Linked DNA regions of Rhinolophus ferrumequinum. The protein of the gene in region 1 binds, or shares a complex with, the protein of each later gene. Links are inferred from orthologs where the notes say so. Each region holds a gene or a part of one and is shown on either strand. Other genes may lie near its edges.

The links.
Region 2: the proteins of LPL (region 1) and GPIHBP1 are in contact, whole or in part, in a crystal structure (PDB 6OAU), measured with the Homo sapiens proteins. The link is inferred for Rhinolophus ferrumequinum from reciprocal best matches to the Homo sapiens genes LPL and GPIHBP1. Residues at the interface, in NP_000228.1 of Homo sapiens: Tyr367, Gly368, Thr369, Ala371, Glu372, Glu374, Leu403, Met404, Lys406, Lys430, Lys440, Ile443, Cys445, Ser446, Arg447, Glu448, Val463, Lys464, Cys465, His466, Asp467, Ser469; in NP_835466.2 of Homo sapiens: Cys68, Lys69, Ser70, Leu92, Ala94, His95, Gly96, Asn97, Thr98, Glu99, Ser100, Leu103, Thr104, Thr105, Ser107, Trp109, Cys110, Thr111, Asp112, Ile117, Lys119, Val121, Glu122, Thr124, Val126, Met128.

Annotation. Positions count from the first base shown.
Region 1 is NC_046301.1:52,060,064-52,075,649, reverse strand, and holds the start of LPL (lipoprotein lipase), read right to left. Parts: upstream 7,901-15,586; 5' UTR 7,612-7,900; coding exon 7,524-7,611; intron 1,614-7,523; coding exon 1,444-1,613; intron 1-1,443. UniProt on the Homo sapiens protein: Key enzyme in triglyceride metabolism.
Region 2 is NC_046297.1:72,417,748-72,433,168, forward strand, and holds GPIHBP1 (glycosylphosphatidylinositol-anchored high density lipoprotein-binding protein 1), read left to right. Parts: upstream 1-7,515; 5' UTR 7,516-7,565; coding exon 7,566-7,617; intron 7,618-8,198; coding exon 8,199-8,333; intron 8,334-9,229; coding exon 9,230-9,346; intron 9,347-9,451; coding exon 9,452-9,687; 3' UTR 9,688-9,805; downstream 9,806-15,421. Other genes in the region: LY6H (lymphocyte antigen 6H), read right to left, coding at 165-284, 968-1,095, 1,595-1,657, 3,983-3,984.

The DNA.
Region 1 (15,586 bases):
GGCACTCCACACGGCAGGACCACAATGTGAAGAATATAAGTGGGCTTAGTGCACAGTAGGACCAGTGAAAGGAAGAGCATCATCTAGTGATACTGGCTTAGTTGTATCATCTTAGTGTGAGAAAGAAACATGTTTCTAAAAACAAATCCCTCAAGTACAAAATTCTCTCAGGGATAAGACTGAGGTATTCAATTTATTCCCGTCATAGAAGTGTTGATTAAGCTTAAACTTTTTTGAAAAGTATTAAAAGCCAAGTTCTAGGTACAACCAAAATGCCTCTGAAACCACTAAAGATTAATTTTTCCTATTTAAATCTCTTAAAATATAGAAAAGATTTATGTTAGGAATTTGTGCTTTATCATAAAACATGTAATTTGCTATATTAACATGAGTAAATAGATGTATTCTATTAAAACAAACATGCATGTAAATTCTGTTGACGTTGCCTTCATCTCCATAAAAGTTATCATAATTTTCCTTTATGGTCAGTAACAGGACTAGAAGTAAATCAACCATTAGCTAATTCATCTCTTTAGGAATTAGTGTCTATTACCATATTCACAAGCTCTGACATAATGGAAAGGTAATATCTCTTTAACCATCCATTTTATATATGTCCTTTTTAATAAATAATAAAATCTGCTCTCTAGAAATTTAAAATATTAAAACACAACTATAGCGGTTAAGTAGGAATTGCATCACGTAGAGTGACCATCTGGCATATTTAGAGAGAACTATTTTATTCATATACTTTAAAATAAAATTAACAACCGTTGCATCTTTTCTAATCATCTTCATGACAGTTACCTGTCTAGCCCTCTTTCATCTCTAGAAAATTTCCCTGAAGTTTACAATTAGAGACTGTTGGAAGAGGAGGGACGGCTAGTCTGACCTCTTTGTTTTACAGATCAGTAAACTGAGGCCCAGGGCTGAGAAGTGGCTTGATCCCTATCACAGAACTGGAGGATGGCAAAGCCAGGACTGGAACCAACACCTCCTCACTCCACTCCAGCCCTCTCCTTACCCTCACAGGTTGTCTTCCTTACAAAAGGACATTTGGTGACGTGCTGGATGAATCTACATCGTGTCAGGTTTCCACCAGTTTCCCAGAATGATAATCTACATTCTGCTCTGTAGGTGAGCAAAGCCTGGTTTTCCACGTCATAGGCATAGCTGGTTCGAGGGCACTAACTAGGGACTGTGGTAAAACGAGGTCTGAAAGTCGGCACTGTCTGGAGGAAGTACTCATGAACCTGGGATTTTAGGTTCCACAATTTCAGCCCGAGCTAGAATTGCCTTCACTCCATTTTAAAGCAAAGCCATCAGAAAGTTAGCATAAGTATGGGATGTGGAGACCCATCACTGGGTTCCCAACATGGAGGGCAAGCTGGGCAGGATGCCGGGTCCACCCCAATCCACTCCTTCCTAAAGAGCATTTCTTACCGTCCAGCCATGGATCACCACAAATGTTTTGCTGCTGTGGTTGAAGTGGCAGTTAGCCACAGATTCTGTCACTCCAGGAATGAGGTGGCAAGTGTCCTCAGCTGTGTCTTCAGGCGTCCTTAGAGCAAATTTACTTTCAATGTCCATAAAATCATTTCCTCCCATAATTTCTGAGAAGGAAAAATTGAATAGGAAGTTAGCTGGAGGGTTGGGTTTTTTTTTTTTGGTGTTTTTTTTTATTTGCTGCAATGTTATGTTTCAGGTTCATAAGTAGCCACCACCAATACTATTTTTATTTCTAAAATTAAAAAAAAATGAATGTGGATTGCAAGAGAATGATTGATCCTCCAGGGGTAACCAAAGTTGACAGAGACAGCCTTAAAATAACTCTGAGTTAAGCAATATTGATCTCTCCTTCCATCCTCTCCTTCAGTCAGTATGTGTGTGTATGTGTATGTGTGTGTCTATGTGTAACTCTTATTTGAAATTCCTTAGTTAATTCAATCTTATCTCAAGATACGACTTGATCAAGGTCATGCTGCTAATAGTGGGAGAGAGAGTAGGGACCAGAACCCAGGTCTCTCGGTTCCAATTCAAAGCTCATTCTTATGGTGATCACATGATATAGTTCCACGTATTTCCTACATCACTTCACCCTTTTTAAATCCTGGATTACATCAAAGGAATGTTTTCCCATAATATGATTAATATGATACAATAAGTCTTATTTGAGGAAAGACTGTCTCCTTTTCACCAGCACAATTTTTAAAAATATTAGCAATAAGAAAAGCTAGTGGCATGAAGAAGCTTTTGTATGGAATGGTTCCTACCCCCATGGCAAGACACATCCGTTCAAAATGTTCAAAAAAAAAAATCACTTAGTGAATTGTTCAGAAATACCTGTGCTATATCTGTGCCATAGTTAACTCTTTCCCCAAATAGTTCTTTTCCCACTTACATCTTCACAGTCTTCCACACACAGTCAGAACTTAAAAAACTACTGCAAAGCTGGTTTGGGGAAAAATTCACTTTGGTTCTTCATAGTTAATCCCAAAATGAGTAAGAGGCGAAAGAGAACTTTAGTTTATCTCTCTCCAGACACTAAATCTAAATGATGATAAATTTTCACAAGGTATTTGTAGACAGTACATATCATATCAGAGTGAACACTAAAACTGTATTGCAGATGAAATCGGACTGTTGTACAAAGCAAGCACAGTCAAAGGGAAGTTATATTAAGGAAAATGATTGAACTTTTTGTCAAGTAAAAAAAAGTCAAAAAAACCTATCTATTCATTATTAGAAGGTAATAACTTGTAGATTTTAGATTTCATTATTTAAAATTTTCAGAAGATAAGTAACTGAAGTTGCTTAGAAATACGTCTAATTTTTTATCTAAATGTACTCACTTTTCATAGCTCAAAGGTTGAAAACCTGTTATTTCAAATAACATTGCAAAAGGGAGGCCGAAAATAAATATAAGAATGACATAAGGAAAGACAGTCATCTGAACCAACCTTATCATATAATTACCTGAGAACTGGCCAATATTTTCCTTTTTAATTATTTTTCAAAATTCCTTAAATAATATTGTGGTTACTTGCTAAGAGATTTATTATATGCAGCAAGTGGATCACACACACATACATACACACATCTCTAACACTTAAACATTCTTAAGATAATTTGTTCAAATAAGAGACTGTAGTAAACTATTGATATTTAAAGCTTTTTTTCATTTTTTCCATATAGTAAAATTGAACTTGAAGTCCACTTATCCATCAAGAATACACTCTGCCTTACATACTATTTGAAGATGTCGGTCTTCCTTTTTCTTCCTAACTGGAAAGCACACTGGTGGCCTTATTATTTATCTGATAGTGGAAAAAAATATTGTAGATTTTTAATCTGCTTCTGCTTTAAATACCCAAGAAGTTCTTTTCTTGTTAGAAAATGCTTCAGAAAATTTAAAACTAAATTAGTTTCACCTACATCTCTCCACATCAAATAACTCATGCCTCCTTGCGAATGGTCTTATTTTAACATGTTCGATTAGCAGTCTTTTTAAAGCAGGAATAATCTGAGCAACCTGGCAGACAGATCTCACCCACCACCTACTTGCCAAACGGATACGAAGACTCTTGCTTTGCACAACTCCACTCACTTTTAGTCTATTTTTCCCTAGAATTATACAATATGGTGGCCCTGGTGGTGCTGACGGTTTTGAAATTACTAAGAATATTATTTGTAATTATAAAGGCTAGCTTTGAACATTCTCTCTCTTTCTCTCTCTCTCTCTCTCTCTCTCTCTCTCTCTCTCTCTTCAATCCATAGATCCTGTATTAGATTATCTATACGGCTCATTGAGAGCTCCAGTTTCCTGCAATCAACATTTAATGTTGGGTACATAGCTTGTAAAGAAAAATAATGGGAAATTCATACATTCTCAAGCAAATTTGTATTTGGAGACTTTTATTTCACTTTCCAAGGAAGTTATTTTTCATTTTAAGTTATAGAAAGCCTAATGAAGCCTTTGACAGGAAAACAGTACCTACTCTATATAGTATGTGATTTTCAATTCTATGTCAGTTCAATATATGAAATCATAAACGACAGTCTTTCCTTCCCTCTGGTGTTCTGATAGGAATTTTCACACTACAGGTGTTTGTAACCCCTCAAGGATGTCTCAGCATCCTAAAGACAAATGTGCTTTACAAACCTCTACAGCCCTCAAGCAACTGATGTAGGCTGCATAGAGATAGGGAGATAGATGGATCCTGACTGTGAGTCGGTATGTTAAGTTGTCCCAATATACTCTAGGATTGCTCCTGCCTAGCAAATGAACTGATTTGACTTTGCTGTTACTAAGGAAATTATTGTTTCCACACATGGAAATGATATTAGTGACTCTGCATTTATTCTTTTCAGGGGATAAGGACCTCTTCCCAGGTCCCCTTAAAAATTAAAGCCATCTTAGCATAGTAAAAAAAAAAAAAAAGAAAGAAGAAGTAGGGGGTTACCTAAGGTGTATTCCTTCCTAAGGGCCTCCATCCTGAATTCAGCACCACCACGCCAACCTGACCCCACCTAATATGCCTTTATTAAGCACTAAGGGGAGATTTTGGGGTACCAGGCAAATTACTAGTTAATGCATTTTTTGACTATGTAATCTTTATTTCTAAATAGGTAGCTAAAACTCTAAGTGTGTACATAAAGACAAGGAATTTATCTTAACATGGATAATAACTCACAAGAATGAAATTAGGCTGAGAAGTCAAAAGCACTTTAAGGATAAATTTATAGGGGGTATATTATTGATGCTCGAAAAGAAGGAGCACAAAGCATCCCAGAAAAGACACTCTTAAGGCAGCTCAGTTATCAGATGTATAAGATTGACATTTATAAGACATGAGGTATAAGAGCTCAATTGTAATGCAATTCTCTTTGAAGTTTCTATTCTCTCTCTCTCTCTCTCTCTCTCTCTCTCTCTCTCTCTCTCACACACACACACACACACACACAACTCCTAAAGGACTCTATCCTAACTCACATCCTCTCTGAGATGGATGGGCACAGTTATTGACTCAAACAGCTTCTGTAGAATGCCAAGAAACAAGTCGAATAGATGAAAACAAAACAGTTTGGGGAGGGGGAAAAAAATCAGTATTGTTATCTGACGAACCGATTGGTCTTTTCAGGTATTCCAATGCAGACAATGTTCCTGACTTACCTAACAAGCAGATTTGCTCTTCATTTTTGTAGGGGAAAAAAAATGTTTGTAAAAATAGAAGCAGTAAACTGTATAGCCCAATTTTTCCTCCCAGAATAAAGCAAGAAAGGAGGACTGAGCTAAAAATACACTGCCTGAAAGAAAGTGAAAGTTTTCCACGTAACTCTTCCAATACAGCTGTCTATCAATCACTCCCTCACCGAGCTCTGCTCCATTGCAAGTAGTATCTGCTATTTTGCTGTCATAATCCATCATGTTTAATTCAGATGTTAGTCTGGAAATTCACTAAGTCCAGTCAAATAGAACCGCAACTACTGAGTACTGACCCATACATTCCATCTCCTAGTTCTTCCAGTTTCCTGATAAGGCCACACAGAGATTGTGGTGGCTCCAAGAACAAGGAACCTGAGGGCATTGCCTCCTATCCTCATATTCTTCTTACAATGAACTGAGAATAAGTAAAGTCAGAGCCCACAGGAGGGGCCCTTACACCTGTAGCTTTCGGCTATGAAATTCTTACATCTTAAATAAACTTATTTGGAGGAGAAAAGAAGCCGAAAGTTGCTGTGACGGGAGATGCACACTATAAAGAGGGGTTGTGTGGAGTGAGCGTAGGAGGGAAAGACAAGGGATTAATTTCAAGTCTACTTAAAAAATGATTCCTCCTTTAATACATTTACAGTCGGGAAAAGCATGTGTTTGTTAAAATCCAATTTAATTCATGAATCACGTAAGTGTCCATTTAAATCAAAAAGTAAGACTTAGAGGGGCCTATGAGAACTCTGAGTCTGGTCCAAACTCTTCATTTTAGAGTTGAGGAAGCCAAACTCGGAAAGGTGACACTGACTAGCCCAGGAATTTAAGGTCCTGAACCTCTAAGGGAGCCTAGCAAAAACTTAAACTGTGGTTGGCACATATTTGTGCGTGTTTTACTACACTATAGTGCACTTTTAAAAATAAGAATCTGGAGTTTGTTCCTACCATCTTCTTGGACAGCGTTAAATACTATCCAAGGGGAACATGCCTCCACATAAGAAGTTTAAGACTTTCTAATTGAAGCCCTGACAGAAACCGATCTGACAGAAAAGATACTCGTCTTTATTATCCAATTCAGCTTTCATGGAATCCACATTTTTTTTAACCTAACAAAAATGTTCTTTCCCACAACTCGGTACTGCGGTAAACTTTCAGCTACAGTAAAAGTCACGGACAAACTCGACTATAATTTGAACCACTGCGAACTTGCCGCCTGAAGGCGCATCCAAGCGACACCGCCCTCGCTGCAATTCCACGAAGGAAAGAGAAAAGAAAATGCTGCCTCCTTTCATGACTTGTTTCAGTTGCCTTTTTATAAAGTTGCCGTTGTATATTAGCTGAACCAAGGCTCAAGTTAAGCAGGCTGTCTCTATTGTGGGCAGGTCTCGGACAGGGGGCTGGTTCTCCCACCACCATCCCCCTCCACCTGTCTGCCTGCCCCGCACCTCACACCGCGATTAAAGAAATTTGCATCTGGCTTCCAACGCCCCCGACTCCCCGGCGATGACGAGTTCAGCCGCAGCCTCCCGGCGATGCCCCGAACGGGACTCGGCTCACAGGACGGTATGGATAGCCAAGTGCAAACCGTGCAACCCCTAGATCAGCGGCCACGTTTTCAAGAGGGTCACCCCTTCGCTAGATTTTCTGCGCGCTAAGAAGAGCGGAGCGTGCAAGAGTGGAAGGTGGGGAACTTCCGGCGCCGGAACGCGTGCAGGATGCCGCGTCCCCAGACCTCCGCTCCACGCGTCGCGCGTCCCCCACTCCCATCTGCACGCGGAGGGTGAGGGTATCCTGTGCCTCTAGGATGCGGGCAACCCTTCCTCCCGCCCGATTCCTGCTTCTCCCGGAGAAGGGGCCACTTTCTGCCCGCGCTCCCACAGGCGGGGCCCGAGCCGCAGCTGCTGCCACGCCAGGGTCACCTTGGCCTGCGTGCCTTTCATTCCAGTCGGTCACCGCCATCTGGGCCCTTCCTCCCGCCTCCCTCGTCCCGCCCCTCACACTCCCCCCGTCCCTTCCCGGCCGAGCCCGGGCGCCAGGGAACGGCCTCCGCCAGAGCGGAGGGGACAGCGCGGGAACCCGGAGAGAGCGAGAGAGCGGGAACTAGGAGCTGCCCCAGCGAGATCGGAGGGACAATTCCCTCCCCTCTCTCAGCGGATCCCGCCCCGATGACTTTCCGGAGCCGCACTCGGGCTGGAAGAGTCTCCGGAGCGCATCTGCACCCGCTTCAGACTTTCTCGTTCGAATCCTCACCATGCGTGGAAGTGGCCACTGAGCCGAGTTTACAGGAGGAGCGGAGTGTGCACGCAAAACTTACTGTCGGCGGCGGCCAGCCCTCCGCGGGAGGCAGTCAGACTCTGGAGGCACACGCCCAGAGCCACCAGGAGCAGCGCTTTGCTCCCCATCTCGAAGCGCGTCCCTCTCTGTAGGAGCTACAGGTCACGGGAAGAAGCGCGGACAGATTGATGGACCTCGGAGCCCGAGGCAGGAGTAGGCTGGAGCCGCGGTCCGGCGCCCAGCAAGTCGCCCTTTAAAAGGGAGGGCAGGGCAGCTAGAAGTGGCAGGTTTCCTCGGAGGAGAAGGAATCGAGTCTGACACTGTTTCCACTCCACGGCTACTTATGTGACTGGAAATATGCAAATAAACCTCATCACCTATTGGCTATAAAATCATAAGTTGGGGGGAGGGCCCTAAATTCACTTCCAAATATTTGAGCAAACTGTAGTGAGGATCAACCCTGCCAGCGAGAAGAGGGGGAAAGGGCAGAGAGAAATTTTGCTTTCACTGTGTTTCCTACTTGCTTTTCCTAAGGGGTCTGGCTCTCCAGGGCCCCCTGTACAAGCACCAAACACAGGTTTATGTGGATTTATATTAAATACTCCGCAACCACCAGTTTTCCACGGAGGACAAGTAAAGCTGTTAAACTACATTTGGGATGCTTAAACCCACTCCTCTTTTGATGGACCCTGTTTGTAACTTGCAGGGTTTTTTCCCCAAAATTCTCCCGGACAATATCAATTTAGGGATCCACAAACACACGGTTTTCTGCAGCTTGCGCTTGAACAATCTGGTATGTTAACATTGGCAAAATGGATTAGCTGATGTGGTGGAGAAAAGCCTTCTTGCTCTGATTACTAAGTTTTGCCTCGTGCAAATTATACTCAAACCCATCAAAGAATGCAAGTATAACATTTTATTCTCAGAGGCAGAATATTGAGGTCAAATAATTTAAAACTGTATTGTTATGCAAAGTGAAAGAAGCCAGTCACAAAAGACACGTATTGTACGATTTAATTCCATTTATATAAAATATCCACAAATAGGCAAATCTTATAGACAGAAAGTAGATTGGTGGTTGCCTGGAGCTGGAGAATGAGGTTGGGGGTGGAGAATGGAGAAGTTTGGGGGAATGGTGATGAAAATGTTTTAAATTACGTTATGGCAATGGTTGTACCACTGGGTAAACATACTAAAAAAACATTAACTTGTACATTTTAAGTGAGTGAACTTTATGGTGTGTAAATTATATCTTAATAAAGCTATTAACACAGATGCATTAAGGTATGTAAGTAAAAATAATAAGAATAATGAAATCACGTGGGAAATTGTTTTTTTGTTGTTTTGTTGTTTTTGTTTTGTTTTGTTTTGTATTTTTGCCAAAATGCTCAGAATACTCTCAAATGTCTTTTTAAGTATAAAGGATTTGCATTAGTCAGAAAGGACAGTTTAACTCTATACTCTTCACTTTATATCTGAGAAATAGATTCAAAAATAAAAACCTTCAATTCACTGTCCATATTGGATTATTTCTCTGAACATCTTTATTGCTTCCTTTTACTCATCCCTCCCTCCATCTCTCTCTCTCTCTCTCTCTCTCTCTCTCTCTCTCTCTCTCTCTGTCTCTCTCTCTCTTTCTCTCTCTCTCTCTGTCACACACACACACACACAATCTTCATTTGTATGTTAGAAGGATGAAAGTCCATATGATTTAAACGAGGCTCACATTTAAAGTTTTTCTCAAAAATGAAATACACCTGATAATACCCATATAATTCAAAGTGTGTTATTCTATAGAATAGAATTCTATTTTTAAGTTGATGCATTAAATGGCACAACACAATATATTGTCCTGTATTATTGTCTTGCAATTATTGAACAATATGTTGTGCACATTCATCTCACAGAGCATGTGGAGGAATTTTGAAACCTGCCAAGAATTAATCCCCTCAAAAGAACTTTAGAAGTGGCAAAACAGACCATGCAGGTGATGAGTAACTATGATGTGACAGTCCTCCAAAAATTATATAGTAAAGTCTAATTTTAAAAAATGACACGAGGTGAGTACAATTGTGTGTGGTCAAGGTTTAAATGACATATAAACAAAAGTGCAAAATGCCTACTATCTTAAATAAAATACTCATGCAGTCTATTTTCACACATTAATTTTTTTTTAAATCATTTGCTAAGACAACCAAACCATCAGCACTTCTGTGCCTTTCAGAGAACTGCAAGAAGATTGCCTGAGGGAAGTCTGCTATATGTTTAAAATGATTTCTCAAGTTAACAGATAACAAATTCAAAGCAATCAAGAGTTAGAGTAATTCTTCATATATATGAATATGAAATATACACATGAAACCGGTTTTGGCATGGCCTCTAGTGTTACACTGCATGTGCATTCGAATTGCAGAGATTTCCAGGAAGAATTAACTCACAGCAGCTCAGCCTGTTGGAAAAAGCAGATGGATTGGCTCCAATGCGAGGGCAGGTGGTGGGCCGGTGGGTGTGGCGGCAGCGCGCTCTCCTGATTGGCTTTTCTCGGAGCGATCAGATGCCTGCGTTCTCGTGCAGAGGCTCACATGACCTCCAAGTCCAGACTGCATGTGCGTTAGCGAGGCGCCTCATCCAAGCTTCAGCAAGGTTATTTGATCACCCACACCGTGAGGTATGACGGTTTCTGTAATTGACATTTCCTTTGTAACAGACTTAAAAAGTTTCAGTTTAAAAGAGGCTAAGCTTTTTATAGATGTTCAGCAAACCAGTACTCATGACTGGACGTCTTCTCCTCGTATGAGTTTAAAATGACGTAAGTAGAAAGTTAATTGTGTATACCTAAAGAGACTGCCAGAAACTCCAGAACTCCACATGTAGGGAAACTCTCTCTCTCTCTCTGTTTCTCCTCCTTCCTATCTATCATCTCTTTCTATCATCTATCTGTCCTCTATCATCTATCTAAGTATCTATCTATTATTTAGATTGAGGGCTTGCTATTTGCACACACTGGGCACTTTTCAATCCTTTCTGTATGTAATCATTACAAAAACACGGTGAGCTTAATAATATTCCCATTGTACAGATGAGGGAAGATAAAATTCAAGGAAGATTAAATAACACTAACCACAATTCATACAGTGTTTTTTTTCTTTAGTGATCCCAGAAAAGGAGGAAAATGTATTTGATGTGTTATGTTAGAATGTTGCTGTAATTGCAAACCGGAAAAGCCTGGGAAGCAGATGTGTTTTGTACATGCAGAGCTATGATGAAATGCCTGGGCTCTAAAAGAGCATCAGTACTGAAATGTATCTGGTGTCTATCGCAAAAATTATGTTTAATGTAGGAAAAGAGCATTACTGGTACAAATGAAATTTACAAATACAAAATCATAAATATAAAAAGGTTTTTAAAATATTTTGACTTTTAATAAGAAAAAAACAAAACCAAGATGTTTACTAAAAATTCCCATAGACTTTTCCACTGCTACCCACTTATATCCTGGCCTTAAACTGTAAACAAGGAGGAGCGCCAGCTGTGTCCGGATGGAGATGGGATGTGACAGGGTGGGGATAAGCATGAGGTCATAGCTGTAGGAGCTGCCCTACTGGGTAGTTAAGTGGAGCTATTGATCTTGCAGGCCTCTTTGATTCTTTACCCAACAAAGCTAAATTGAAAAAATTCCAAGTAGCAGTTCAAGGGACAATTAAACTCAGAGGGAATATAGTTCTCCATTGATAAAGTTGGGTGTCCTATTCTGGAAAAGTTAAAGTACAAATAAATATTATATTTAGCCAATTTGTTACTGTCTCCTTCCTTCACCCGGTTTGCTTTGGGGGTGAAGGAATTGTGAGGTGTGGAGAGAACTGCTTCAAATAATAAAAGTGTGTTGTTAAATAATCCAGACATATTCTAAGGATTTTGGTTTTCTTGATTTGGGGATATTCATTCCCTCCCCTCTTCCAAACACAAAAGAAACAAAAAACAAAGAGAAAGAAGGAAATCATATTTTAATATCAGAATTAAAAGATTTGTCTAAATAAAGTGAAGAAAAATAAAAGATATACAAATTTTTTTAAAGTGAATTTAAAAAAAAAATAGTGTATTGCAATGGCCTGTCCTGGAACAAGGCATTATGGTAAGGGGGACACGTCAGAACATACCAGAGAGACAGATGCTGTCACAGAGAAGCTACAACAGGCCAAGGGGGAGAAGGATTCCGGCCTTCCCTAGTAGACAGCTAATACAAACTAAAAAGAATGTCCCACAGATAACCTGGATTTATAATCCATGTTTATTTATAAGTAGCTTTTTTCTCCTTCCCCCACCAAAAAAACTTAAAAACTTAAGTTCTCGAAGGAGACTTTCTATCAGACCTAGTTAATGACTTTACTATGCAAGACCATGAATGTTTTTTGCGGAGGGCTTTATGTTCTGAGATAACTTCAGACAAATCATCAAAGCCCTAGACTGACAGGAGTGGACCTGACTCTCAGCACAGACATGTTTGAAGTGCCCCCTGCTGTCTTCCTAGGGACACTGTAACATATCAAAAAAAAAAAAAAAGTATTTTAAGGGGTTTGAAACAATTGACTTGAGTAATCATTAAGCTCTTGTATTGTTATTGGAACTTTTCTTGTTTCTTTTGTTAAATTATTTATAACAATGAAGGAAGGTATTGCTCTTCTCACCTCTGTGGTACTTCCCACAGCATCAGACTGAGAAGTTAGGTGGTTCTCAGTCAATAGTTGTTAGGTGAATTAATAACCCTGAGTAAAAGATGATCCAGTGCTAAGTGGGAGAGAAAGCAGGATATTATTTTATTTTAAATTTTCACTAGATTTAGTAATTATGAAACTTGAAGACACACCACACACACACACACACACACACACACACACACCCTCCTTGCCATGATCTAGTCTACTTGGACCAAATCTATCCAGTTAGGGAAATGGAGGACAACTTCATTTGACTGAAGCTTTCTGTTGGCCTTATATACTTCTCTTCTTCCTTTTAATTGAATTTGTCGTTATAAAAGCTATAATATACTCTTGACCAAAATAAAACCACAAAAGACAAAATTTCAAGCAGTACAAAATTGTGTGCAAACATAAGTCTTTCTCTAACTGCAGACTTCCAATGCTCTAATCTCTCTCCAGAAGCAACTAGTTCCCTTTCTTGTGTATCTTTCTAGAAAAGTCTATATGCATTTACAAGCATAAATGTGTTTGTAAATGTGTGCATGTGTGTATATTCATCCACATATTCACAGCTTATTTTTTACAGTAATGTCAGCATATTGTAAGCACTGTTCTGAAATTTATTTTTTCACCTAATAATGTGCCTTGGAGATGAGATCAAGCAGTAGGGCCCCTTTGTTTCTTTCTTTTTATGGTCATGTAAGATTTACGTCTATGGTTATACCATCATTTATTAAACTAGACACCTATTAATAGTTGTTTAGTTCTTTTGATAATATTAACCACGTTATAATAAACAAAGACAAATTCTTTGAAGTTATTCAGTCAAAAAGTATAAATATCTATCATTTATCATTTTAATAGTAAATCCACTGGGTCCTCTAATGAAACTGCACAAATTTACATTTCTACCTACAGTGTAGAAGAGTTCATTGGTTGTGGACATTCTAAACTATTTAGTGTCTCCCAACCTGGAAAGTGAAAAATGGTCTCATTTTAAATTTCATTTTAAATAATAGTACCTAACTCTCATGTAGCACTTGCTATGTGCCAGGCATTCATTATTCTTAGAACTTGGCATATATGACTGATGTAATATAAAAACAGCTTTATTAAGATACAACTTACATATCACACAAAACATCCATTTAAGGTACAATTAAATTGCTTTTAGTATGTTCCCAGAGCGGTGTAAACATGACCAATTTTAGAACACTTTAATTACACCCGAAAAAGCTCTGTACCTTTTAACTGTCACCCATCACCTCCCTCCCCCACCGCCAGCCCTGAGCTACTTTCTGTTTCTATAGATTTACCTATTCTAGACATTTCGTGTACATGGAATCATATAATATGTGGTTTTTCTGACTGGTTTTTTGCACTTAGCATAATGTTTTCAAGGTTCATCCATGAGTTGAAGCATGCGTCAGTACATTCCTTCTTATTGTCAAATAATATTCCATTGTATGGCTATAACACATTTTATACATCCATTTATCAGTAGATGTATATCTGGGTTGTTATCACTTTTTGGCTACAATGAATAATGCTGCTATGAACATTTGTGTACAAGTTTTTGTGTGGACAATATATTTTTAATTCTCTTGGGTATATATGGAGGAATAGAATTGCTGGATCGTGTAGTAATTCTGTTTAAGTCTTTGAGGAACTACCAGGTTTTAAGTACCTCTTTCTCCAAAGTTTCCCAGATTTCCCTCTGAGAGTTTGTCACCATCTCCTTCTGTTGCAAATTAGTGTTCATTTCTTGATTGTTATAATATGATATTATTTGCTGTCTGTCTATTGCATGAGACTGTGGCCTCACAAAGTTGAGGATGAAATCCATTCATAGCCTCTGTCTCCTTAGCACCAAACACAGAGCTGGGTACCAAAGTAGGTACTCAAATATCTATGCGAACAAATGATTGAATAGCAGAAGGAAGGAAGGATGGAAGGAAGAAAGGAAAAAAGGAAGGAAAGAAGAGTTTAAAAGGTGAAAATCAGTATATACTGTAAGGTATTTACATTTATCTCAAAACTTATTTTCTACTTTCCTTGGCAAAATTGTTAAATAAAAGAGCCAGAATTAAAAGGATAAACTGAAATCTTTGAAATCTTAAAGAAGTTTATGTATGAATGAACTTAACAGTGTGGCTCTATTCACAAAGGAAGTGAAGATAAATGCCAGAAGTCAGAACCAAATGAGAAGGATCCAGCTCTGAGTTGTATTGTCCTAAACAATTGTGATTATATGGCAGTGGTTTTACTTTTATTACATGACTTCGATATGGTATAGCAACTGATAAATTTTATAGGTGATTTTTTTCTCCTACTTGAATTGATATTTTAGTGTAAAACTAATTGCCATTTTTATAATTTTTTGTCATCAGTGGTAAAGTTACAGTACTATTTTATCAAAAACTTGCGTACACGTCCAGTGCCAATTCCAATACCTTTCATTCAAGATATTTAAACAGTCTAATAATAATACAATATATCACATAAGAGCAGATTTCACAGTTGTAAATGCTAAGGCATCATACTCAGAATTGAGAATTTGCCTCGACCTGGCCTGATTCTCAAAGAACCCTACAGGAAAATCAGCACACCAACTGATCTTCAAAATTATTTCTAAAAGCTCTACTCTCTAACTTCACGTGTCAATCACCATGTTTCCTCTCATTACACAGGGATTTGGTTGACCCTTGTCTAAAATTCTACATAGCCATGTGAAGCATACTGCATGTACCCTACCCTAGATGCACTCTTTGGACCATTTCAAGCTACAAAAGTTCAATCCAGCTGACTTATTACCTAATAGCAATGTAAGAGGGACGTAAATCTGCCAGGACCTTGAGTCTACATTATCAAGGGCTTTCTCTGGAGGCCTTGAACCCAATTTGTCTGCTTGGCTGCGCGGGAGAAAACAGACAATCTCATCGGTTCAGTCTTGCCTGAATGAGAAAGGCTTTTCCATCTCAGACTTCAGTTCTAGCAGCTTTCTTGAGGAGTTCCAAGGAAAGCAAATCTCCTTAGAACTCGATAGAGAAGAAGGTAGAGAATAGGCAGCAAGATCCACAATGAAAGGGAAGGAGACCACAAAAGATGTAGCTCTGTACCTATTCCTGTTTGCTAGGACCCTGGCCCCAGGGATCATTTTGACATTGCCGTCTCATGTACCCCGAGATGGAATGTTTTGTTCACTCAAGCCCTGCAAATCCCTCTCTGTAATGTGCTGAAGCTGGCTTATATCAGCTTGCTAAAGCTGATTGTTAAATCTGTAGGAGTTTTGCAAGCAAGTTGATGGCACTTGTAGCTTGAAATGAGCCACTGAGGGACTGTTTACACCATGGAAATTGGCAAACAGTACCAAGAGAGCTGGCTGTCAAACATTTACCAGCAAACC
Region 2 (15,421 bases), on another chromosome or scaffold:
ACAGCAAAGCTGAGGCTCTCAACCCACCCATGCTACCCCAACAACGTGGAAAGGGCCATGGAGGGGCCAGGGCAGGACAGGCACCTGCTCAGTGTCACACAGCAGGCCAGAGGGGCTCAGAGGATCCCCAACCTCTCCCCACCCCGGGCCACGTCCTGACTTACTGCTGCTGGGATCCGTGATCCGGACGCTGGCACACACCGTGTCCGATGGCTGGCACTGCTTCGGGGTGCAATGGCTGGAGTTGGTGGTCAGTGTGCAGTCCTGGCACCATAGGCCATGAGCTGGTTGAGGCCCGAGGAGGAGGATGACCAGCGGAACTGAAGGCCAGGCCGGCCAGCCCCACATCCTCCCCACCTGCCTGCTGCAGGCGCTCCTCGGACAACCGTGCTGCTGTGGGGGGGTGGACACCCTCCGGCCAGCAGTGACCAGGTCAGACTGGCACCTGGAGGGCAGGCCCTGGGAGAACCTGTGTCCCTTCCCAGGAGTCTGCAGAGAGGGTTCTACCACTGGGACTCTGGAAATTCCTGTGCCCCCTCCCGGCCCCCCCCAAACACAGCCACAAGTACCTCACACCTGTGGTGCCCTCCCACACACTCCGACCCCCTCATGCACTCACCCTCCCCATCCCAGAGTCCAACGTTCTAAGCTTCAAAGGACCAAACAGGACTTGATGGGCAGCCAGGTGGGGTTCTGAGAGTGATGGAGCACAGAACCTCTGCACTGAGCGAGGGACAAGCGTGCAGGACCAGTCCGGGTGCAAGGCCCAGGAGGAAAAGTGCTCCGAAGCCCGCAGGGACCCGCGTGGCTGGAGCTGGAGCAGTGCAAGGGAGGGAGACAGGAACTGGAGTCCCAGGGGCTGGGGAGGGGATGTGGGTTTGATGGGCACCATCGGAGGATGACGGCCCCACGGCCCCATCTTCCAGAAGACTTGGCCCACCTCAGGGCGGGCTGCCCCCAGACTCACCGGGCGCAGAGCACAGCAGAGCGGCCAGCAGCACCAAGCCAAGGCCCTTCATGGCTGCAGGCAGCATGCTCCAGACGGGCCTTGGGAAGACGCAGGGGCTGCGGGCGGGGGTCCTCTGGGGCGCAGGCCTGGCAAGGAGAAGCCTCGGTCAGCAGACCCAGCCCTCGGCCGAGCCCGAAGGACCCTCTTTTTCTGGCCTCCAAATGCAACCTCCTCGCAGGAATACACAGCGGGGTCGTCTGGGAGATCGCAAAGCCCCACCCCCAGCCCATCCCCCAGAGTGTCTGTCCATCATCACAGCATCTCTTCCAGCGAGAATAGGTACAACCCGAGATGTGCCCACCCCGCGCCCAGCACCTGTGGGATGGGGGGGCGAGATCGGGGGTGCGTCTCCTCCTCCCTGGGGAGCCGTAGGTGCGTCCGGAGAGAAAAGGGCAGGGCAAGGTGCGAGCGAACGGTACCTGCCGATGGGGGGAGGGGCGAGCGCCACGTCCCCACCCCCACCCCTGGGCTGGGGGGCCGGGAACCCCGCGCTGAGCCCCCTCCCATCGCCTGCCCTGCGCGCATCTCTGCGCTCACCGCTGATCAGAGCGTGGAGCGCAGGTCACGAGTCGGGGGCACACTCACATCCCTGGGGTGTCGGCACTCCGAGGCTCCGGGAGGCGCGGGGATCGGTGCCCTTCGGTCTCCCTGCGGACCGGAACCCGGGCGCAGCTTCGTCTTTCGGGGAACGCAGCCGCAGACGCGGACCCCGCGCGAGGGGCGGGGCGGAACTGGGGCGGGGGTTCGCGGGGGCGGGGGCGGCGGGAGGCGTGCGGGGAGCACCCGCGGCCCTGAGGTCCGCGCCAGGTAGCTGTCCCGGGCGGTCCTGTGCCCCTCGCCGCTTGACCGCTCGCGCCCACCCTCTTCGGTTCCCACTCTCTCCACCGCTGCTACCTCCCCCTACCCAGGCGTGGGCAGGATCCCTTCCCCCTCTGCTTGGCTGAGGTCCCCTTGATATTTCTCGGAAGAACGTTTACTGCGAATTGAAGCAAAACGCACAAAGACGCAGAGAGGAGGAGGGAGGGAATTAACGAGGGGAGGTACTCGTGCCTGTTCACAGACTCGCAGCCCTGGGGCCCCTCCCCTCCGCAACCCCATCCTAGGTTCCGATTGTGAGTGTTCGAGGCTGTTCTCCCTTGAACATCCATGACGATCCCCACCAGCAGCCGCAGCCCCGGGGACTGCCGTCTCCAACAACACTCACACCTGAGGGCAAGTCCCACAGCCTGGGCGGGGTATCAAGGCCATCTGGCCCCGCTCCGGCTGGGTTCTCAGCTTTGTCTCTCGCCTTCCCTGCTCACAAAGCTGTGGGTGTGCTCCGCCTTTGCACCTGCGTCCCTTGTGCCTGGAATCCGTCTCTGGGGCAAGTGTGGGGGTCCTTCCTTTCGTCCTGTCCTCATTTGTCCAGCAAATATTGATGGAGCGCCCACTATTGGCCTAGCGCTGCTCTGGGACCCCCTACAAGAAGATGAGAGGAGGGTATCTGCCGCCGCCCCAATCTTACATTAGACGGATGATGGTCACTTCTATGTCCCAATCATAGCCTTCACTGAGCTCATGCATGTGCTCTGATCCCTGTGTGTGTGTTATCTCATCACGGTCTCACAACAACCCTACCATCAGGTATTGTCATCATTCCCATTTTATAGATGAGGAAACTACAGCACCCAGAGGTTGAGTTCCCTGCCATGGTCACAAAGTGTGTGTGACAGTGACCATGAGATACAGCCACGTTGGAACCTAAGCCCTGGGCTGCAGAACCTGAACACTTCACTGCTGAGCAGCAGGAGTGAAGGCAAAGGAGGAGATGGACAAGGGACCATGACTTGGGAACGGGGATTTCCGCAGATTCAGCAGAACTCAAATATGAGCTGGAAGTCAAAAATCAGCAAACGTCCAAGTGAAATAGCCTCCAAAGTGAGACACAGCAGAAACCGTGGTGAGTGACAGGTTTAAATTCCCACAAACTTTCTAAATCGAAGGTATCATATATAGAATATTAAATCAAACTGTTTCATAGGTTTAAGATATATTAAAGGAAGGAACACTATTAAAACTGACCATGCTTAGCTGGAAAAAAAAAAAGAACCTCTAGGAATGAAAAACCTTTCATCGAAATTAAAAGATCAGCAGAAATCTTGAAAAAATTATGCTAAGTGAAAATAAAAATAATAAAGAAGCATGTACTGTGTGGTTTCCTTTGTATGAAATGTCCAGATTAGAAAAATCCAAGAGACAGAAAGTATATTAGTGGTTGCCTGGAGCGGCGAGGAGGAAAGAATGGGTAGTTTCTGCTAATGATCAAGGGATGTCTTTTCAGGTAGTGGAAATGTTCCAAAAATAGATAGTGAAGATGATTGCAACAAGTCTGTGAATATACTAAGAACCACTGAGTTGTATACTTAAAAAGGGTGAATTTTCCAGTATGTGAATTATATTTCAATAAAATGGTTGTAAAAAAAACTCAGCAAATGTGTTAGGCAGCAAATTAGACACAACAGAAGAGGGAATTTGTGAACTGGAATAGAAATCTGAAGACATTATCAAAAATGTAGCACAGGGATAAGGAGATGAAAAATAAGAAAGAGAAGTTAAGACACACAAAAGATGGTGTGTCAATAGCTCATATAAGACTGGTTGAAGTCCCAAAAGGAAAGAGAGGTCAATATTTGAAGAGATTATGCCCCCAAATATTTCAGAATTGGTGAAAAATAAGTATTTACAGAGAAGCATGACTAAATAGAATAAACAAAAAGAAAACCCACACTTAGGTACAACGTAGTGAAATTGCAGACCACCAAAGACAAAAGATGATATTTTAAAACAACCAAAATAAAGGGAGATCAACTCTAAAAAAAAAAAAAATAGTGGCTACACTGACAGCACAATTTCAACAGCAACAACAAAGGCCAAAAGACAGTGTAATGATATCTTTAAAGTGTTTGGAGGAAAATAACTGGGATTCACACTTACATCAGTGCACGGCGAGTGAAGCAGATTGCTCTGCATCGTGCTGGTGGGCCTCACTCAATCAGTTGAAGGCCTGAATAGACCAAAAGATTTTCCTTGAGCAAGAGGGAATTCTGCCAGCAGATGGCCTTCGAACTTGAACTGAAACATTGTCTTTTTCTGACTCCTGTCTGCTGGCCCACCCTACAGCTTTTGGACTTGCCAGCCTCCATAATCGCATGAATTAATTCATTAATTCCTTAAAATAAGTCTCTCTCTCCCTCTCTCTCCCTCTCCTTCTCTCTCTCTCTCTCTCTCTCTCTCTCTCTCTCTATATATATATATATATATATATATATATATATATATATATATATACACATGCCACAGGGATCTTCTGACATGTCAGTGAATGATGTCCGTCCCTTGCCTCAACCCTTTCTGTTCCCATTTCTGCAGACATCACTGACCACTAACCTTGAAGCCATTCCCAAGCTCTTTTTCCTTTGGCCAAGATGCTGTGAGGCCACAAATAATGTTGTTTTAAGCCCTTAAATTCTGGGGTAATTTGTTATGCAGCAAAAGATAAGACAGGTGGTTGGGGCCTGGCTAGATATATTGGGGGCAGGGGGCAGATGCCCAGTGTCCAAAGAGTAATGTCCAAGGAGTTGGGGCCAGTCCCTGGGGAATGCAGCTTTGGGCCTGCTCCCCAGAGAGCAGAGACCGGTGCTCTCCCACTCTAGGCTTGGTTGCCAGGGAAACAGAGATTCCTATTCTGGTTTCCAAGCTACTCTGCCTTCCTCCCTATGTATGTGGGACAGTTTCATCCTATTAGAATTTTTGCAAACAAGAATACCAGTCCATCCTGGTTTGCAAAAGAAAGGGTTTTCTTTAACGGAATGAGGGCAGATCATGTCACTGTGTGGCTTGGGCCCCTTCTGTTTGAACAGTCCCTGCAGGGAGCTGGTGACAGCTGGCCTTGACCTCCCTTTTCCCAGCTTGAGCTGCCCAGATGCCCTGATCCTGGGGAGCAGGCACTGGGTTCTCACCCTACTCTGTGTCGTTCTGACTAGTACCCACAGCGTGGGGCGACTCTATGGCCATGGCCCAAGTCTCACATTGTCCTCAGGATCCAGGACCATTGGCAAGCCCGACCCATAGCAGAGCCAGGTGGTCAGAACCAAGGACAGCGTTAGAGGCTGCTGCTCTCCAGCCATTGGCTGCTGAGCTTCCTGTGCTCCCGGGCAGAGGGGACAGGTCTCTGGGTCAGGCCCTGACCAGGAGAGGGGTGAGGTTGGGTCACGCAGAGATGTGTAGCAGAGCTTTCTCCACGTATTTTTGGCTGTCCTGGATGATGTGGCTGCAGGCCTTGTTACGAAGAAGGGCCATTTCTCAAAAGACCACCTGGCCTCACCGAGAAGGCCATGCAAGGGTCAACAGAGATACTCTGTGTCATCCACACAGCGATTGTTTCCTGAAAGGTTGTCAAACTCTGAGACGGAGAACATCCCTGACTTCCAGAACAGTGGAGGGATAGTATGTGGGCTGGGCTGAATGCGGCACCCCAAACGATATCCAAATCCTAACTCCCAGACCCTGTGAATGTGAGCTTATTTGGACAAAAGGTCTTTGTGGATGGAGTTAAGGATCTGGAGATGGGGTCATCCTGGTTTTAGGGTGGTCCCTAGATCCAATGTCTGGGAGGACAAAGAGACAAAGGACAGGGAGCCCTGTGGCAGAGACACACAGGGAGTGTCCATGTGAAGACAGAGGCTGACATTGGAGTTTTCAGTCAGATCGGCTTCAACGCAAGCCTAGCTCCTTATGGGGCTGCCACCTGGCTCCTGGCAGCCAAGAGCTCAAGGTGGCAGATCTGCTTCCCTGTCCACAGTGTGTGGGGGACATTCCCTAAGGTCCTGGAAGCCCCCATCGTAGGGTGCCGCACTCCTCTGGGCCTGGTGTCAGGAGCCCATTGAGACTGTACTGGGAAAGGGGAGGTGTCAGCAATGATGTCAGACTTGAGCCCCCTCCCTGGAGCTGAGGCCCCCTGGGGTGATGGGTCACCAAGAGGAGAGGGATGGATGTTTGGGGGACAACCTCAGTGTTGGCATTTACCCAAAGGCACGGAAAACTTGTCCACACAAAAACCTGCACATGGACGCTTAAGCAGCTTTACTCCTAACTGAGAAAACTTGAAGCCGTCAAGATGTCCTTCAGGAGGTGAGTGGATAAACTGTGGTCCATCCGTCCACACACTGGAATAGTATTCAGCACTAAAAAGAAATGCGCTGTCAGGCCGTGAAACGACAGACGTGGAGGAACCTGAAATGCACATGACTGAGTGCAAGAAGCCCACGTGACAAGGCCACACAGTCTATGGTTCCAACGGTACCCATTCCGGAAGAGGCAACACGACGGACACAGTAACGAGATCGGTCATTGCCAGGAGGGTCCGGGGGGAGAGAGATAAACAGCTGGAGCACAGAGGGTTTCCAGGGCAGTGAAAATCCTCTGGCATGAAATTATAATGGTGGGTACACGTCATCATACACGTGTCCAAATCCACAGAATGTCCAACACCAAGAGTGAACCCTAATGTGGACCATGGACTTGGGGTGGTTGCGATGTGTCGGCGCAGCTCACGTATCACTCTGGTGGGGCACGTTGATAACGGGGTAGGCACTTCGGGGGTGGGGGCGTATATGGGAATTCTCTATCTTCTCAATTTTGCTGGGAACTTAAAATTGCTTTGAAAAAAATGTCTGATTTAAAAAAGAGAAAGTTTAAGAACTGAAAAAAACATCAATGCTAGCCTGGACATCTGGGACTGAGTCAAGGGCAGCTCTGAGCCAGGCACTCCTCTCCCAGGCACCAAATCTTCCTCCATAAAAGGAGGGGCCAGGACTAGCTCACACTCAAGGTGCACCAGCTCTAACATCCTAGAACTTCGGACACGCTCCCACCATCGCGTGGCCTTCCTCCACCCCTCTGTGAGCTCCCTGCACTGCCTTTCCAGCACTGGCATGTCTGTGTTTTCTCCCTTGCTCACCTGCTGTCCTGGGTGTGGCCATCTCCAGGCACCGGCAAGTTCCACCGGGGCCAGTGGGGACACAGGGACGCCAAGATCAGGCTGCCCTCCGGGAGCTCCAGCCTGGTTGGAGAGACAGGGCATCAGCCATCCTCCCCAGCTCTGTGTGGGGATCAGCAAGATGAGTGTCAGGGTTCAAGGCACTTGGGCTGAGCTGGAGAAAGGGGAGAACAGGGCCCAGGGTGTCAGCGGAAGGGTCTGTCCAGCTCAGCGGCCAGGTCTTGTGGGGGCCAGAGGTGGAGTCTGGTCCTGAGCCTCACCAGCCCCGGGTACTGGGGCCAGAAAGCCAGGTCAGGGCAGAGCAGCACAGATGGGCAGGACACCCAAGGCCAACACTGACTTCCCTTCCCCTGGGTCCCTGAAGTCCAGGAGGGAAACTGTCCCATTGTTTGAGGCTGGAGCTGGGGGGGGCCAGGCCCAGGGGCTTCCAGGAAGCCCCCAGCAGTACTCTTTGTCCCATTTCCCACAGATGCAGAGCCCCAGCAGGACAAAGTGAGCAGATCCAGAGCTCCTGGCAGGATGAAGGTGCTCCCGGCTGTCCTGCTCGCCCTGCTGTTGTGCAGGCAACCAGGTACTTGTGGCAAGGGGACGACCCTGCAATGACAGCGGACCTCATAGTCTGGGACCCCATCCTGGGGACAAGACATGGCTTGGGAGAAAGGGGGATGAGGGTGCAGTCTGAGGCCAGAGGGAGGTGGATGGGGGCTCTGTGGGCTCCCATAGGTCCCCAAACCTCTACACTTCCAGCCCCGGCCCACTCCTGGGGGACACAGGCTCCCCTCCCCACCAGCCCCAGGCTTGGCCTCTCCGAAATGCAGGCTTTGGGGTGCCCTCTCCTCTCTCAGCCTCAATTTCCTTTTCTGTAGAATGGGCAGGCTACCCTGAGGGTTCAGAGGCGGGGTGACGGGCAGCTGCTGTAAAGGGCCGGCCACAGCCGCTGGGGGTAAAGACAGTGCCTGGTCATAGTCAGGTACGGGGCCAGGGCCTGTGGAGACCCAGACAGCGACCTTGCCTGTGTGGGAGGCTGCAGGCAGGGAAGGACAGAGGGATGGGAACAGGCCGGATCTAGGACTGGGGGCTCGGCACTGGGCGCCGAGCGTGTGTCCTCTGCACCTGGACAGCAGAGGTTTACCGGCATCCCTGCGTGGCCAGGGAGAGGGCGGGCACAGGATGAGGATAATGACGACTACTTTGGCTATGACGAGGACGATGAGGACGACAAGGACGACAAGGATGATAAGGACGACGAGGACGACAGGGAAGACGAGGCAGGCAGCGGCGGCAGAGGTACCTGTCCACCCCGGCCCCCACCGTAGGCATCCGTGCCCCTCTTTCAGTACTTCTTAAGGGTGCCCCTGAGTGCCAGGCTGGGTGTGGGGCTGGAGTAATGTGGACGCACAGGCAAGGGCCGCCTGTGAGCTTGCCTTCCAGCGGGGCAGGGAAGGGGGTGAGGAGGGGACCCCGACACTCAGCACACCCCTCACCTCACTCACCCTGGCTGTGCCCTTCAAGTGCCATCCAGGGTAGGGAGCCTAGAAGGAGCTCCTACTGGGACGGGCAACGGTGCCTGGGCAGAGAGGTTGAATAGGGGTTCACCAAGCAGAGAGGGGCTCAATGGAGCCTCAGGATGGAGAGAACAATGAATACAAAACCCTGGATGTTGAGTCATGAGCAGAAAGGCCCTCTGGAGCAGGGCAGGGCAGGGGAAGGTGGGCTGGCCCTGGGTCAACGGGGTGGATAGGCTCCTGCAGGTGACAGGGAGCAGGGACAATGGCTTAGAACAAAACAGAGTGAGAGATGAGACCCACGCCCCACCCCTCATCGTGACATGGAGGCCACGCTTCCTCTGTCCCATACCCGAGGATAAAGCCAAGGGCGTCACCAGCATCCAACTTGCATGGCCTAGGGCTGCCAGCCCAGCCCTGCCCCTTACACCCCCAGCATGCCCCCCGCCTCCACCCATACCCTGTGGGCTCTCTCACCCCAGGCCTTGGCTCTGCAGGCCAGAGGAGGTGTGGAGGGAGGCTCTGGCAGGGCTGACTTTGTGGGCATCAGCTGAGAACAGCAAGGGGAACAGGGAGTGGAAGGAGGTCTCGGCGGTGAAGAGGCCGGACTCGGACTCCCGGGTGAGCTGGGGGCTCCGAGGACTGTGGCGCTTGGCCTGAGCCCCCCTTGCCACACAGGATGGCTGCAGTGCTACTCCTGCAAGGTCTTGCATGAGGAACAAGACTGCAAGGAGATGCGGAGCTGCCCCCTCAGCCAGCCCTTCTGCAAAACCTTGAGCTCCCAGGGGAATACTGGTGAGCAGCCACCCTGGCACCCGGAAGGCACACAGCCCTCGGGGGGCCTCATCCCTGCCCGGGCCTTTCCAGTGTGACACACTCTTTCTCCACCGCCCCCACCAGAGTCGGGTCCTTGGACTACCTACTCCGGGTGGTGTGCAGACACATGTAAACCTTCCACCAGAGAGGTAGCCGAGATCCTGATGACCACAACCTGCTGCCAGACCACCCTGTGCAACATCCCACCTTGGCAAGGCCTCCTGGCCAGGGGCGCAGGAGACCCCCAGGGCAGCCCTGAAACTGTGGCCGCCGCCTTCCTTTTCAGTCTCCTCACTGGCCTGTGGGCAATGGCGTCCTGACTGTGGCCGCCCCGCCCGTGTCCCCCCCGCCTGTCTTGTACCCTGGTGGGCCAGCACCCTGTCCAATCCTCCCCCTCCTGCCCCTCTCATCACCAGCAGCTCTGGAGAATAAACTTGGAGTGCCTTTAATGACTCAGCCCATCTCATTTCCTCGTTTTCCCCTTCTGGCATCCTTGCCCTCTTCCCACGGCCCCGGTGGCGGGATGGGCAGCACATGGGCCTCAGGTCCAGGCCTCAGCCTCTCACAGGGCAGGTCCACAGGCTTAGGCAGAGAAAACACGCACTATATGCCATTCCCTCCCCAGCTTCCCACCTCCATCCACTCATGTGCCTCCCAGCCCACCTGCAGGAGGCTGTGGGTGGGGACCAGGTGGCATGAATGAAGGGCGGCTGGAAGAGCAGGACAAAAGGGTGAGGCAGGAGGGTCGGTTAGGGTGGGACTCTCCAGCCAGCCCCTCAGCCTGGTGGGCATAGGTAGAGGGGAATGGTGGGGGCAGTGTGCTGAGGGGGGTGAAACAGGCCTGTAGGTTCCTGAGAAAAGGAGCGGGACAGTGGGAGAGTGCTGAGTAGGTGAGCCCAGCCCTGCCTGTGCCAGGGGGTGGCCCAGGCCTTGTGGGTCCCCCAGGATTGGCTCTGGCTGAGTTGTATGGTTGGCAGCTGGGCACTTGGCCTTCTTGACTGCACCAAACTCTGCTTTCTCACCACTTGGTGCCAGGACAGAGCTCTGTGCCTCAGTCTCCCCATCAGAGCAGTTATGGAACAAGGCTTAGAGGGCCCTTAGATCCCCACCAGCTCAACATCCCTGGGTTGGGAGGTCCAGAGCCCTCTCCTGCCTGTCGCCTCCCCAGCAGGAAGTGTAGCCTTCCACTCTCCATTCTCCCCTTCCCTTAACGGAAACCTCAAGATCTAGCAGGTAAAGGTGGCAGGCTTCTTCCCCTTCCTCCTTCCTGCTGGCTGGAATGATGGCTGGAGCTCAGCATCCACATTGTACCATGAGGCAGCATACTGAGAACAGCAGGGCCGCATGGAGGAAAGGGCCTGGATCGCTGATGACCTGAAGCCATTCTACCATCCCTGCACTGCCTAACCCAGAACCCCATTACCTGGGAGGGAAATAAACTTCTGCTGTGTTGAAGCTAGTTATTTTAGGTTTCTCTGTCACTTGCATTTTCACATACTCTCACACACACTCATGGACACTCGCTCACAGACAGCTCCTGTTAAGTTACATCAGATGAGAGCACAGCTCAGGGGTCATGCTGCCTGGGTTCAAATGTTCGACCCATGCCCTCCAGCTCACATTCCAAGTGAACATTCAATCTCCAGGTGAACCCTTTCACCTCCCCAACTGGTTTCCTTGTCTGCTAAGTGGGAGGGTAGGTGAGCCCCCCAGTAGAGCTGCAGGGAGAATAATGAAGTGCCACATGTAAAGGGCTTAGAGCCCACGTCTGGCACAGTACGCTTAGCAAACATGAGCTATTGCTGTCAACACGACCACGATGGCCCTGGGTGCCACCTGTGTGTATGGTGGTGGGATCCCCCACCAGAGTCCCTTACGATCAAAGGAAACCTCATTAGCCTCACCTGCCTGCGTTAGGAGCACTGGGTGCTGTCACCTGTGTTCGCAGAATTCTTCCTTCATCCCTTGCCTTAGAACCTGGCAGAGGTCTGAGTGCACATACCCCACCCACCACACTCCCCAAAGATGACCCCCCTTTAAGGCCCTTGCATCAGATGTGAGAGGGTCTGCGAGCTCAGTCTGAAGCCATAGGGGCTGCCCTGGCCGTGGGCTCCTGCTTTGGGAACATCCTCTTCTCCAGGGTCCTGGGGCCAGGCCGGCAGCTGGGGCCCCAGTCCTGCCCCTGGGGAAGCAGAAAGCACAACCCCCACTCATCACTGGGCTCTAAGGGGGACCTGTGGGCACAGAGGAGGCAGGGCTCAGGCCCTGGCGACCTTCCAGAGCACACACCTCACCCCAGGCACGTGCAGGTGTTTGGCCTTCAAGAGCCTGATGCTGGAAATTTCCAGAGCCTGCTGGCCTTGGGTAAGGGCTCTGTCCTGCAGCTCAGATGCTGCCAAGGCCTCCCGCCCTTTCTCAGTGTGACTTGAGGGACCCCAAGACAATAGAGGGGCCTGGAAGTCCCCAGGGCTGAGACACATGCAAGTCCTCCAGTTTGAATCAGCCACTTCCCGCTGTGTGACCTCGACAAGCTGTTTGTTTAGTCTCTGTGTGCTCAGGTCCCTGCTCTGAGCCCTGGAGCTGGCCCTAGGTGGCGGCTCGGCTCCTGTGGAGGCGTCCTTTCTGTCCCTCTTCCTGGCACTGGGCCTGCTCTCTGGTCCTGCTCCCTTCAGTGACCCCCCACTCATACCCACTCGTTCCTAATGGGGAGGAAACGAATGAGCCCATGGGGCTGAGGGACCCCTTCCCAACCTGCCTAACCACCCCTACCCTGGAACCAGCTCCTGGAGCCCCCTCAGGGCCCTGTGTCCCCCACCCAGGGAGGACACTGTCTCCTTCCCTGCTCTTCTGGGCCCACACAACCTGCCAGCTGGGACCAGCGGCTTTGGGGGGTCCCATCCTGGCACAGACCCTCCCTGGGCACCCCTCCCCTGCAGCCTCCGTCCTCCCCCCAGACCCTGGGTCCCCTCCCCTCCTACCATCCACCACACCCGTTTTTGTCCTGTTTGCCCATGTCCTCCCCTCCTTGGGTCATCTGCCATTTTCCGCTGACTGCACCCCACCCAGGCTTGGCTCCTTGGGACTTCCTTCTGCCGGCACAGGAAGCAGGTGGCCGCGGGGCGCATTTCCAGTCCTTGTTCTCCACCATGAGAATGGGATGAGGATGAGAGGATGACCCCAAAGCAGGGCTTTCCTGAGGATGGAGATTCCGAGAGGCGCCCTCCTCCCTCGTGACCGTTGGGGTCTGCAGGGGCCCTGGGACCAGGGACAGGTCAGCACACTCAGGTCCTACCCGGGACCTTCCGGAGCAGAGGGGAGACCTCGGGCTCGTGTGTATATCACAGGGCTCCTGATTGCAGAGAGGGTCACATCTGGTCCAGCCCGCACTCGAGGCGCTGTCCAGCACACAGGCTTTCTGCGTCGGGACAGGCACCCGAGGGAGAAGTGTTGGGGCCCTGAAAAGCTCGTGGGCTGTGCTCAGGTGTACTGAGCGGGAGCTGCCCGTGGGACCAGGGCTGGCGTCGACCGACCTCCGAGAATGGAGCCGGGGGTGGGGATGGGGGAGCTGTGGAGGAAGTAACGCGGAAAAAGCCTCCACTCGTGGTTCCCCCTTATTCACGGTCATCATTCTTCCCAGAGAGAAACCTGAGATAAGGAGGGCGCGGGGGTGAGGGATGGAGTGCAGGAGGGAGTGAGGGGGGCATAAGAGTGAATGAGGGGGTGTCGAGGTGAGTGAGGGGGCGAAAGGGTGGGCGAGAGGGAGGCAAGACTGAGGGAGGGGCTGTGGGACCAGAGTGGGGTGGGAGGAGTCTGCTCGGGGGCGGAGCCCATCGCGGCCGACCACCGAGAGGCCCGGGGACCTCGCCTCCTAGAGCGGCACCGGAAAGGGGCGGGCCCGGCAGCAGGACCTTCCGGCGGGTGCCGAGGCCGGGCTCTCCGCTGGGCAGCCCCCCAGGGCCGGCGCAGGAGGCCTGGGGTGTGGCGGGGCTTGGCAAGGGCCCCGCCCAGGGCCCCTGCGAGGGACGCCCGCGCCCCGCCTCCAGCCAGGGACAACCTGGGTCCCTCCGGTGTGGCGTGGGCCCCCGGCCGAAAGCATCGGCTTCCCGCTCTCGAGGCCAGGCGCGGCGGGCAGAGGTGGAGGCTGCGCGAGGACTCCGTAAAGGCGTCGCCCCGGGCCCTGCACGCGCAGCTGGCGAGGCTCTGTCGTCGGCGGCGGCGGCGGCGGGGCGCCTGTCCCTGGCCTCAGCACAGCTGCTGGCCGCTGCAGGCCGGGGCCCAACAGACTGTTTGCGTCATGTTGGCCCCAACAATCCCCTGGCATGGGTGCCTGGATCTCAAACCCACTGGTAATCCGGTCTCTCCTTGAGACCCAGGCTCCTGGAGGGAGCTTGGGTGAGTGAGTTTTCCCGGAGCCCGGCTGCTGCTGGATACCCAAAGCTGCCTGTTCCGAGAGGTCCGGTCCAGAGAGCAGAGGAACGACACTGAAGTTGCACAACAGGTACCAGCACCCAGCCTTGGGCCAGAGCCCTCCTCTGCTCCCGCATGTGGACGGAGTTGCCTGTGTGGCGGTAGCAGTCACCGGTGTCTACAGGCCTGTGACACGAGGGGACCAAGACGATGACCTCTAGTCTACTCCGTTTTGAACAACTGTTTTATTCCTTGGTGTGCACGGCATGTAGAGAAGGGAGTAAATCCAATCCCTGCCATTAAGCACCTGCCACCTTGAGCTGGGCGGACAAAATAATTGGAAGGTTTCCTGAGCACCGATAAGTACAGACTCTAGACAAGTAACTAGAGACGCAGGGACAAAAAAACATGCTCCTTGCTCTCAAGAACTCTGCCTCATAGGGAGACTGCCACATCAGTGACAAGCCACATGTGGAGTGACAAGAGTCCTGGTAGGGGGCACAGTGCTTGGAGCACAGAGCAACCCCACACAGGCCTCAGGTCGCAGGTTCAGGGGCCGAGTGGGGTGGACATAGGGCCCAGGTGAGTTTGCACCTGCCTTGCAGAGCGGCGACCACCAGGGCACCAGGGTTGATTGCGCTTACGTATTGGTTCGTGGTTTTCACCTCATTTTCCTCCCAAAGCTAGACCCCAACTCAAACTCCTGCCTGCTTGACTGGTGCTGTGTTCCTCGGCCCTCGTTGCACCCACCCTCCCTAGGACACATGCCCCCTTCTTTCTGCAGCCTCCCCTCAGCACAGGTGACCTTCCTTCATCTTCAGTCTGGCTCCCACCTGATGCTGAGAATGGCCTCCTCCCAGAAGACACATCCAGTAGAACCCTCTGAGTGACACTGGCTGGAATCCACATCAGGTGTATCTAAACGTTTCATTTAGAAGAAACCAGACCCTCAAACTCCTTGCTGGGAGATTTGTGCAGCCATTTTATGTGTTGCTTCTATGTGTGGGAGAGAAGGGAGGAGCCTGGGTATCCCCTTTGACCTAACAGAGAGAATTCAAAGTACTTACACCGCAAGGCATGTGTCACTTGGGATGTTATCACCCGGAGCACCACACTTTGGGTAAGACGGGCTCCCTGGGTTATGGACCCCTTGTATGTAGGGTAACCAGCACAGCCCTGAGATGCTTCTGCTGGAACGCCTCTGTAGTGGAGCTCGAGGATCAGAAGATGCTGTGCTTTCTTGGGAGCACAGAGGAAAGGGCTATCTCCTGATCTCGTGTAGATTTCTTTCGCCAGCGTCTATGGAGCCTGAAGTTTATCCAAGCCGATGCTGGAATTCCAGGCCTAATGCTGGAATTCCATTAGCTAGCCCCGAACAAAGACGCAGATCAGAAAAGAAATAGATGAGGGCTCTTAAATGAAACATGAGCCATGCAAGTCATGTTTCTTACATGCACCTTGGGGCCGCCTGATGCCTGTTTGAACTTGCAGTGAGATTGGGATGCCTTTAGATGGAATCAGGGAGAGCAAATGTCAGACTTTTCAGACAATGCAAGCAAGTACCTCGCTGATGGTTACCTGCAGTTCTGGCCTTCAGTAGGTGAGTACGCTCCGGTTTGGTGCTACAAGGAAAGCTCGAGTCACGCA